2 linked regions of the Ovis aries genome follow. The protein of the gene in region 2 interacts with the protein of the main gene of each other region in a biochemical or structural test. Links are inferred from orthologs where the notes say so. Each region holds a gene or a part of one and is shown on either strand. Other genes may lie near its edges.

Evidence for each region. The genes of interacting proteins can lie anywhere in the genome.
Region 1: of the proteins of ARIH2 (region 2) and CKB, one has a biochemical effect on the other in vitro, tested with the Homo sapiens proteins (2 studies listed by BioGRID). The link is inferred for Ovis aries from reciprocal best matches to the Homo sapiens genes ARIH2 and CKB.

Annotation. Positions count from the first base shown.
Region 1 is NC_056071.1:65,893,198-65,897,350, forward strand, and holds the start of CKB (creatine kinase B-type), read right to left. Parts: upstream 2,817-4,153; 5' UTR 2,749-2,816; intron 2,445-2,748; 5' UTR 2,433-2,444; coding exon 2,240-2,432; intron 2,058-2,239; coding exon 1,903-2,057; intron 1,827-1,902; coding exon 1,694-1,826; intron 1,390-1,693; coding exon 1,218-1,389; intron 602-1,217; coding exon 478-601; intron 327-477; coding exon 137-326; intron 56-136; coding exon 1-55. UniProt on the Homo sapiens protein: Reversibly catalyzes the transfer of phosphate between ATP and various phosphogens (e.g. creatine phosphate).
Region 2 is NC_056072.1:51,075,306-51,078,844, forward strand, and holds part of ARIH2 (E3 ubiquitin-protein ligase ARIH2), read right to left. Parts: intron 2,307-3,539; 5' UTR 2,213-2,306; coding exon 1,964-2,212; intron 1-1,963.

The sequences.
Region 1 (4,153 bases), on a different chromosome or scaffold from region 2:
CGGTCCGCATTGGAGACGTCAAAGACCCCACCCACGGCGGCCGTGTCCACACCGCCTGGAGAGACAGCCAGTTCAGCGGGGCTGCGTCGGGGGCAGCCCCAGGGGAGCGTGCTGCCGCCTGGCACCCCCTACTCACCTGTGCCTCGCTTCTGAAGCCGCAGCCGCTTGAGCACCTCAGAGAACTTCTCGTGCTTGCCCAGGTGGGGCAGCTTGATGTGCACCCCGGCCCGCAGCCCCGTGCCCAGGTTGGACGGGCAGGTGAGGATGTAGCCCAGGTGCGGGTTCCACATGAACTCGTAGTTCTTAGACTTGAAGAGCGTTTCAATCTGGAAATGGACGTGTGAGAGGGTAGGCCTGGCTGAGCCACCCGCCCAGGGGACCAGCTGGAACAGGACCTGAGGCAACAAAGACCTGGGCTCCCCGGGGGGTTGATGGGTCACCTCCATCTCTGCCTGAACCCTGGGGCCTGGCCCTGACCTGGGTGAGGCCGTTGCAGAAGCGCGTGAACACCTCCTTCATGTTGCCACCCTTCTGCATGGAGATGACCCGCAGATGGTCCTCTTCGTTGATCCACACCAGGAAGGTCTTGTTATCGTTATGCCTGGGGGAGGGGCACAGTCAAGTCTCCTCCCCGGACGAGGACACATCCAGGAACAAAACCTCGCGAGGCCCCCGAGCCGGGGCACTTCCCAAGTAGCTGAGGTGCTCACTCCAGCTGTCCCTAGGGCCCCGGGGCTGCTATCAGGACTCTAGCCCCATCAACACCCTGGGCGCACACAGGGCACTTCAGAGAGGGCACGCGAAGCCCTGAGCTGCTTCCAGCTAGCCGGTCAGGCACCCTGTGGTCCCCACCTAGGGGGTGAGGGGCAGAGGCAGCCCGCCCCGCCCACGGGGAGTCGCTTTATCTCGGCGCAGACGCCCGGTGCCTGCGAGCCCGGCTCCCCACCCCCACTCGAGGAAGCGTCTGCGTCACCCCGCACCTGACCGACTCCCCGCGGGCGGCGGGTGGGAAAGGAGAGCGCAAACAAGGAGCCGCGGCTCCCGGAGGCGGGGGGAGGGAGGAGGAACGCCGGCAAGACGGCCCCACCCGCCCGGGGCGCTCCGCACCTGCGCGGTCAAGGTCTCCTGCGAGGAGGCCGGCACCAAACCCACCTGAGGAGCGCGGCGCCGCCCTCCTCCCTCAGGTACGGCGCGGGCGGAGGCCGGGGGATACGCACCAGATGCCGCGGGCGTCGGGCCAGTCGCGGGCCATGCCCGAGGCCAGCAGCAGGGGCGACACGGGCTTATCGAAAAGGAAGTGGTCGTCGATAAGCTGCTGCTGCTCCGCCTCCGTCATGCTTTTGAGCGCATAGTACCTCCCCGCCAGGTCACCGTCCAGGCTCGACAGGGCTGCGGAGGAGCGCGCTCAGGAGGACGGGTGGACTCCTGCCCCACCCCGCACCCCCAGGATGCCCGCTTGGCCTGGCTGGAGCCCAGTCAGTCCTCCCGGTCCGAGCGGCGGGCCGCTCCGGAGCGACACGGCCCAAGCCGACCATCGTCCGGCCCCAGGGCTCTGTGGGCGCGGGGCTGGGCGTCGGTCCCTCTGGGAAACCCGAGACGACGGACAGATAAGAGCGCGGCGGCTCGGGTGACTGGTAAACAGGCCGGCAGGGCCCGGGGCCGAAGAGCGCCGCTCAGCGGGCCGTACCCTTACCTTCGACGGCGAGCTTCTCGATGGCGCGGCGCTCCCCGCGGCTGCAGTGCGGGGGGAGGCAGAAGCCGCGGATGCTGCGGCCCGTGCGCACCCGCGAGCTCAGCACGTAGTTGGGATCCAGGTCGTCGCCGCCCTGGGGGCCGTGCAGGGCTGAGCGCTGGGCAACCCCTCCCCACCCAGCCGGCCCCTCGCCCCGGGCCACCCCGCACCTGCAGGTTGTCGGGGTTGAGGTCGGTCTTGTGCTCGTCGGTGGGCTTATAGCCTCCGTGCCGGTCCTCAATGATGGGGTCAAACAGCTCCTTGAACACGTCGTACGATTCCTCGTCGCCGGCCACACAGCCCACGGTCATGATATAGGGGTGGCCTGGGGGGAGCGTGGAATGGGGACAGTGACGTCACTGCCAGGCCCGAGCAAGCCACCGAGGACCCTTCAGATATGCGCGCAAAGAGGGCGCCCGGACCTTGGCCCGGGGGGAGCCAGGGAGCGGGGGCGCTGGGGCCCAGCCTCGGGCTCCTGTCCTGACCTCGGGACTGAGGCGCGCGTACCTGGGTTGTCCACGCCGGTTTGGATGACGTCGTCCACCGTGAAGCCGCTCGGGGTGCTCTTAGCGCGCAGCTCGGCGTACAGTTCGGGGGTCAGCACCTTGGCCATGTGGTTGTTGTGGCCGCTGAGGTCGGGGAACTCGTCTTCGGCCGGGAAGCGCAGCTTCAGCGTGTTGTGGCTATTGGAGAAGGGCATGGCGGCGGCGGGCTGCGGGGAGACGCGGGAGTCAGCGGGTCCCGAGGCTCTGGGCCTCCTGGTGACCTGCTAACCACCCAGGGCCCCGGGCTCCGGTCAGCCCGGTCTCGGTCAAGGTCAGAGGGGTCGGCGCTTACACGCAGGGGGCTACCACAGCGCCCAGGACCCCCGGCCCAACTGGCGCGCCCACTCCAGGCGGCGGACCCCGGGAGGTCCGGAGCGCGCGACACCCTGGCCCCAGCCCCCAGCTCCGTGCACAACAACCCCCGCCTCGGTGCCCGCGCGCCCCCCACCCCGGGCCCCCGGGCTCACTTACTGAGCAGTCGGGCAGGGGCGGGGGCTCTAGGTTAGTCTGCAGCTCAGGGCGCGGCGCAGGCGAACAGCGGCGGCTCCGCGCTCCCGCGGCTCTTAAGGGGCGCAACGCAGGCCGCCCATTGGCCGCTATTTATAGCCCATTCATTCCATTGGGTCGCGCTGCGGGGTGGTGCCGCCGCTTTGTCCGCCACCCTCTGCCCCCGGAGCCCCCCCACCCCACCCCGAGCAGCCCACCACGACTATCCCCTGGCCGGGACCCCGCGCAGCCTACCCAACCCCACCTCGCGCCCGCCAAGATCCCGAAGCCAGAACCTCAGGCCCTCGGACATTCCGGATTCCCCCACACCCACGCCTGCCTCCGAGCGGGAAACCGAGGCAGGAGAGCCGGCAGGCACTTGAGAACGCTCGGCCTGGTCGGCGCCCCGGCCCCTGCCTCTGCCCCTCCCGCTAGTCCTCGCGGTGGTCGCGGCGAGGGGCCAGGCGGGAGCCGTCCCGGGCTTCAACGGCAGGTACCGCCATCCCCCGACGCCCAACAACCCCCCCCCCCCCCCCCCCACCCCAACCTTCTCCCGCCCAGTCTGAGTTGGCGGCGAGCCGCCGACCTTCTTCAAGGTGCCCGCAGGCATCTCCCCGGCGATCTTGGTGCAGAGCGAAGGCACGCCGGAGGCGCAGCCTGGCTGCGGCCCAGCCAGGCGGCACCCTTGGTGCCGTGACCTTGGGCAAGTCCCCGGGCTTTGGGGTCATCTGAGCCTGAGACTCAGCCCCTCCTGGTTGATGAGCGAATACTGACTGCGGCCCTGCTGGGAAGTGCGCAGTCTCAGAGCCCCCAGCCCCAGGCCTGGGCCCTCTCTTCCAGGGACAAGTCCATTTCCACACCCCACCCCAAAGGTCGTCCTCAGAGAATCTCCGCAGAGGCTGGAGGAAATACTCACATAAGCACATGTGAGTTTTAAAAAACAAAAAGCTCACTGAAAATCAGAATCATGCAATTCAAAGTAATGACTATGCCTTCCACTGTCCCCAGCACCCCAGACTGGCACCAGCCAGTGTTGGCTATGGGCTGGAATGTGGGGAGATAGGCATTCACAGGCTGCCTGCCACTGTGAAGTGCTACATCAGTTTTGGAAAGTAATTTGGCAGTATTTATTAAAACGTAAAATCTTTGTACTCCATGACCCGGTGACCCGGCAATCCCACTTGTAGGAATCCAGCCTACAGTCTCATCTCTCTGTGCACATAGGCCAGTCCTCTCTAGCATGAGGAACAAGCACAAACAGACCTGCATGTAACCGGATGCCCATCCCTTGGGGACTGGCCGGGGGCAGGGAAGGCATCTCTCCAGTGTGGAATATTACACGGCTATTAAAAAGCGTGAATTAGGGACTTCCCTGGTGGTGCAGTGGATG
Region 2 (3,539 bases):
AATTGAGTTCACACCAATAAAACCAGCGACATCATCAACAGTTGACCAAATCCACAGTGCCCCCAGATTAGTCAATGCCTGCTATGGATGAACACTGTGATAGGAATCATGGGGGAGACAAGATAAAAAAGTAGTTTCTGGCCTCTGTGACACGACAAGCAGTGAAGAGAACATCCCAAAATATGTGAAAAAGTAAAAACAACATCAAGCAGTCAGAAGATTGCACTATATGAGTTAATAAACTTGGGTTGTAACATTTGGGCCCTGGGTCCACAACAGGAGCCAACCACTGTGTTCTAGAAGGTTGCGAGGAGGCTCACTCAGGGAGGGCACAAGGTAGGCCTGAAAGAGCCGTGAGGGTCTGAACAATTAAGGAGAGGGCCTCCCCAGGCCCACAATAAGACAGCCTAAAAAAAAGGAAAGGAGTAAAATGGTATATTTTATGGATTTTACTACAATTAAAAAAAACAAAGGAGAAAAAGGCCTGTGCCCCCAAGCTGTCTCCAGCAGAGTAAGAAAGTTGGCACGGGGTCTTAACTGAGAATTCCTATGCATAGGTGGAAATATCCTGATGAACTTTGCCAACTGATACTGTCCAGAACCACATACCCGACAATTCCTCCTCTAATTTTAAATACCAACACCATGTAAAATACAGTTAAAGAAAAAGAAACTAGTTGACCAGAGAGGGAGAGGTGGGAATAATGAAGAGATCTGAGATCTCTTTTCTACCAGGGAAATGCCCCAGCAACTCTGCTATTGTTATGAGCAGAAATCCCAAACCCAGAGGTTCCAATGGGTCTCCATTCTTTGAGTTTTCTGCTGAGCGTGAGAGAGGAAACCTGTCCATTTCTAGAAGTGAGTTGCACAAAATCTTTAGCTTTCAGCTCCTAGCTAGCTACTAATAAAGCCCTGAGTATCCAAATCCAAGGTATTAGTTAACATTTGCTGATCACCTGGGGAAAAAAAAAAAAATCCTGGACTAGTAGGATAAAGCAACTTTTACAGTACGGAACACCTTCGTCATTTCCATTTCAATACTAAAATGAAAATTATTCGGTTGAAATCATGCCAATGTGCTCTTGATCTTCAGTTTTAGCGAACAACAAAATCCATGCAACAGCTCCTGAAAGGAAGGTCAGTGAAAACAGCAAAGTAGGAGAAATGTTCCCACTTTCACATAATGGTCCACATGAGAGGAGAAACAGGCTGGGACACTGTCTAAAGGACCATAATAATTCACAGTAAATGCTGTTCTGTGTGTTTTACTCTGTACTAGTTCGATATAATGTAATACAAAATGTCCATTGTGAGGATAATACCTGGCCTAAGGTGCAAGACATTGAAAACTATGCTAGCTTAAGTGTTAAAAATAAGCGGCTTGCTAAAATAATCAATTCTGTTACTTAACTTACAATTTCATTTCACACCCCCTCAAATCAATGAAATACAAGCTATGAGAACTTACTTTAGTTACTGCCAAAATTTCTTTCAACATCAGAGATTAGTCACCAGTATATGAAACCAATGAACTCATTAGCCTAGAAGCACCGATTATTCACAGCAAACCGGGAGATCTAGGAGCTTCTCTTAAGAGATTTATCAATTGCCCACACAGTGTTGGGTGATTCTGATGCTTATCCTATGTTACCTCATAAAATTTCATAAGACTTTCTGAAACAAGTGTTAATCTACACAGCTCTGCTTCTGTGTATTTCTGGTCTATTTCCCCTGAATCCACTCCACCCCGCCTTTCTAATTCCTAGTAGTGTGAGAAGCTGAGGTCCTCTGATATGCACCTTAGACAAAGCAAATACATCACATGTGTCCAGAGGAGGCAACACATAATTCAGTTTGGTTTCAAGCTACAGGCCATTTAACCAGGCCGGAGGAGACTTTAGCAACAGCTCATATTTAGATTTGATTTCAGGGATTACACTTGGGAGGTGACAACACTGCTTACCTTTAGGACAGAAGCTAAGCTGGTCATGTGCTCATTGAGGGCACCCTCGGACTCCTTGTAGGTCAAGCACGTGAACTGGTACTCCTCAGGGTCGAAGGAGTCGGCCCCCTGCTGCTCCACATCGCTGGCCACTCCCACGTAATAGTCCTCTATGTCCCCAGGGTCCTCATCCTCTTCCTCCTCCTCACAATTAGGGTCATAGTCCTCTTCGTTGCTGTCAGACCCCTGGCTATTCATGTCCACAGACATCTTAACATCCAGTCAAGTTGCAGATCAGGAAAGCAGTTTTTTCCCCTCCCCCCAAATTTCACCACTGTCTCAAACTCATTAGTGTTTTTGTCTTCTAAGGGAGGAAAAGAAAAAAAATATGTGTTAGTTACTTTCACTGTGAAAAGCTGTAACAGAAATCATTCAAGAACCAAAACGGCACAGCATTGGTCCTACACCCTATGGCCTATTCCAACTCTCCTCTCATCCAGGAAACCTCACCATCATCTCCCTGCCCAGGCTTTTCAAAGGGAAACCCTTTCCTGGAGGGGCAGAAGCAGTTAACAATGGTAACTTCACATGAAGGGTCTGGCATGAAAGAGTAAGGCTGTCTGCTCCATGTCAAGGAGTCAAATTCCCACAGAGTTGTCCTTCCTGCCAGGGTCCTTAAGAGAGAAGCACATTCCCACAGCTGATTGCCCAGAGTGGAAGTATCCTAAAGGCTGAAGAGCCGATGTTTAAATTTTCTCACCCAGTCGTGCCCTACTGAGTAGTGACACAGACAGAACATAAATAGGGACGCGGTTCCATCCCACTACAGTTTCTGGGGAAATAATACCAGTGTTTTACAGACATCGCTCTCAGATATATGGGGGGAAAAGTGCATAGTAAAGAAAAAATAAAACCACACAGCTCTTCAACATCAACATCCTCCTCTTGTCTGCAAAGGTAACTGATTTTTCCACTTTAAAGGGTTCTACTAATCCTCTAAATACTACTACTTTGGCAGGATCGAGCCTAGGAAAAAACAGAATCTACCTAGGGTAAAGAAACAAGATCAAATGGCAGCAGCTACTGAAAAATCCTCATAGATCAAAATGTGACTCAATTACATATAAATGAAAAGAGAATACTAGTTGAAAAAGTAAAACAGTCACATATTTTAACTCTTAGAGACGATTTTGGCAAATACTCATTAACTTCTCTACACAAGAACTATTTCAAGTGACCGTTTCCAAGGAACAGTATCAAACAGTGATTTAAATCTAAAACTAAGAGGGCCTTAAAATGCAAGAGCATGTTGGACTGAATGGAATGAAATAATTTATATAACCAAATCTGGATTAAATACTAAAGTAAATTTAAAACCTATTTGAAGTAGATAATCTCGCCAAAAAATTTATAGTGAAAAAAAGGTTAAAATGAATGTCTACTGAATATGTAACCAGTCTAAAGGACTACAGAGTCACATTTTAATGATATTATAAAAGTATCAATGAATCTACCTCTGATATTTTACCTATAAATGCTTAAATTTAAAAAAAAGTCACACTAATGAGAGGGCAATAACATTTGCAGTTTGACTTTT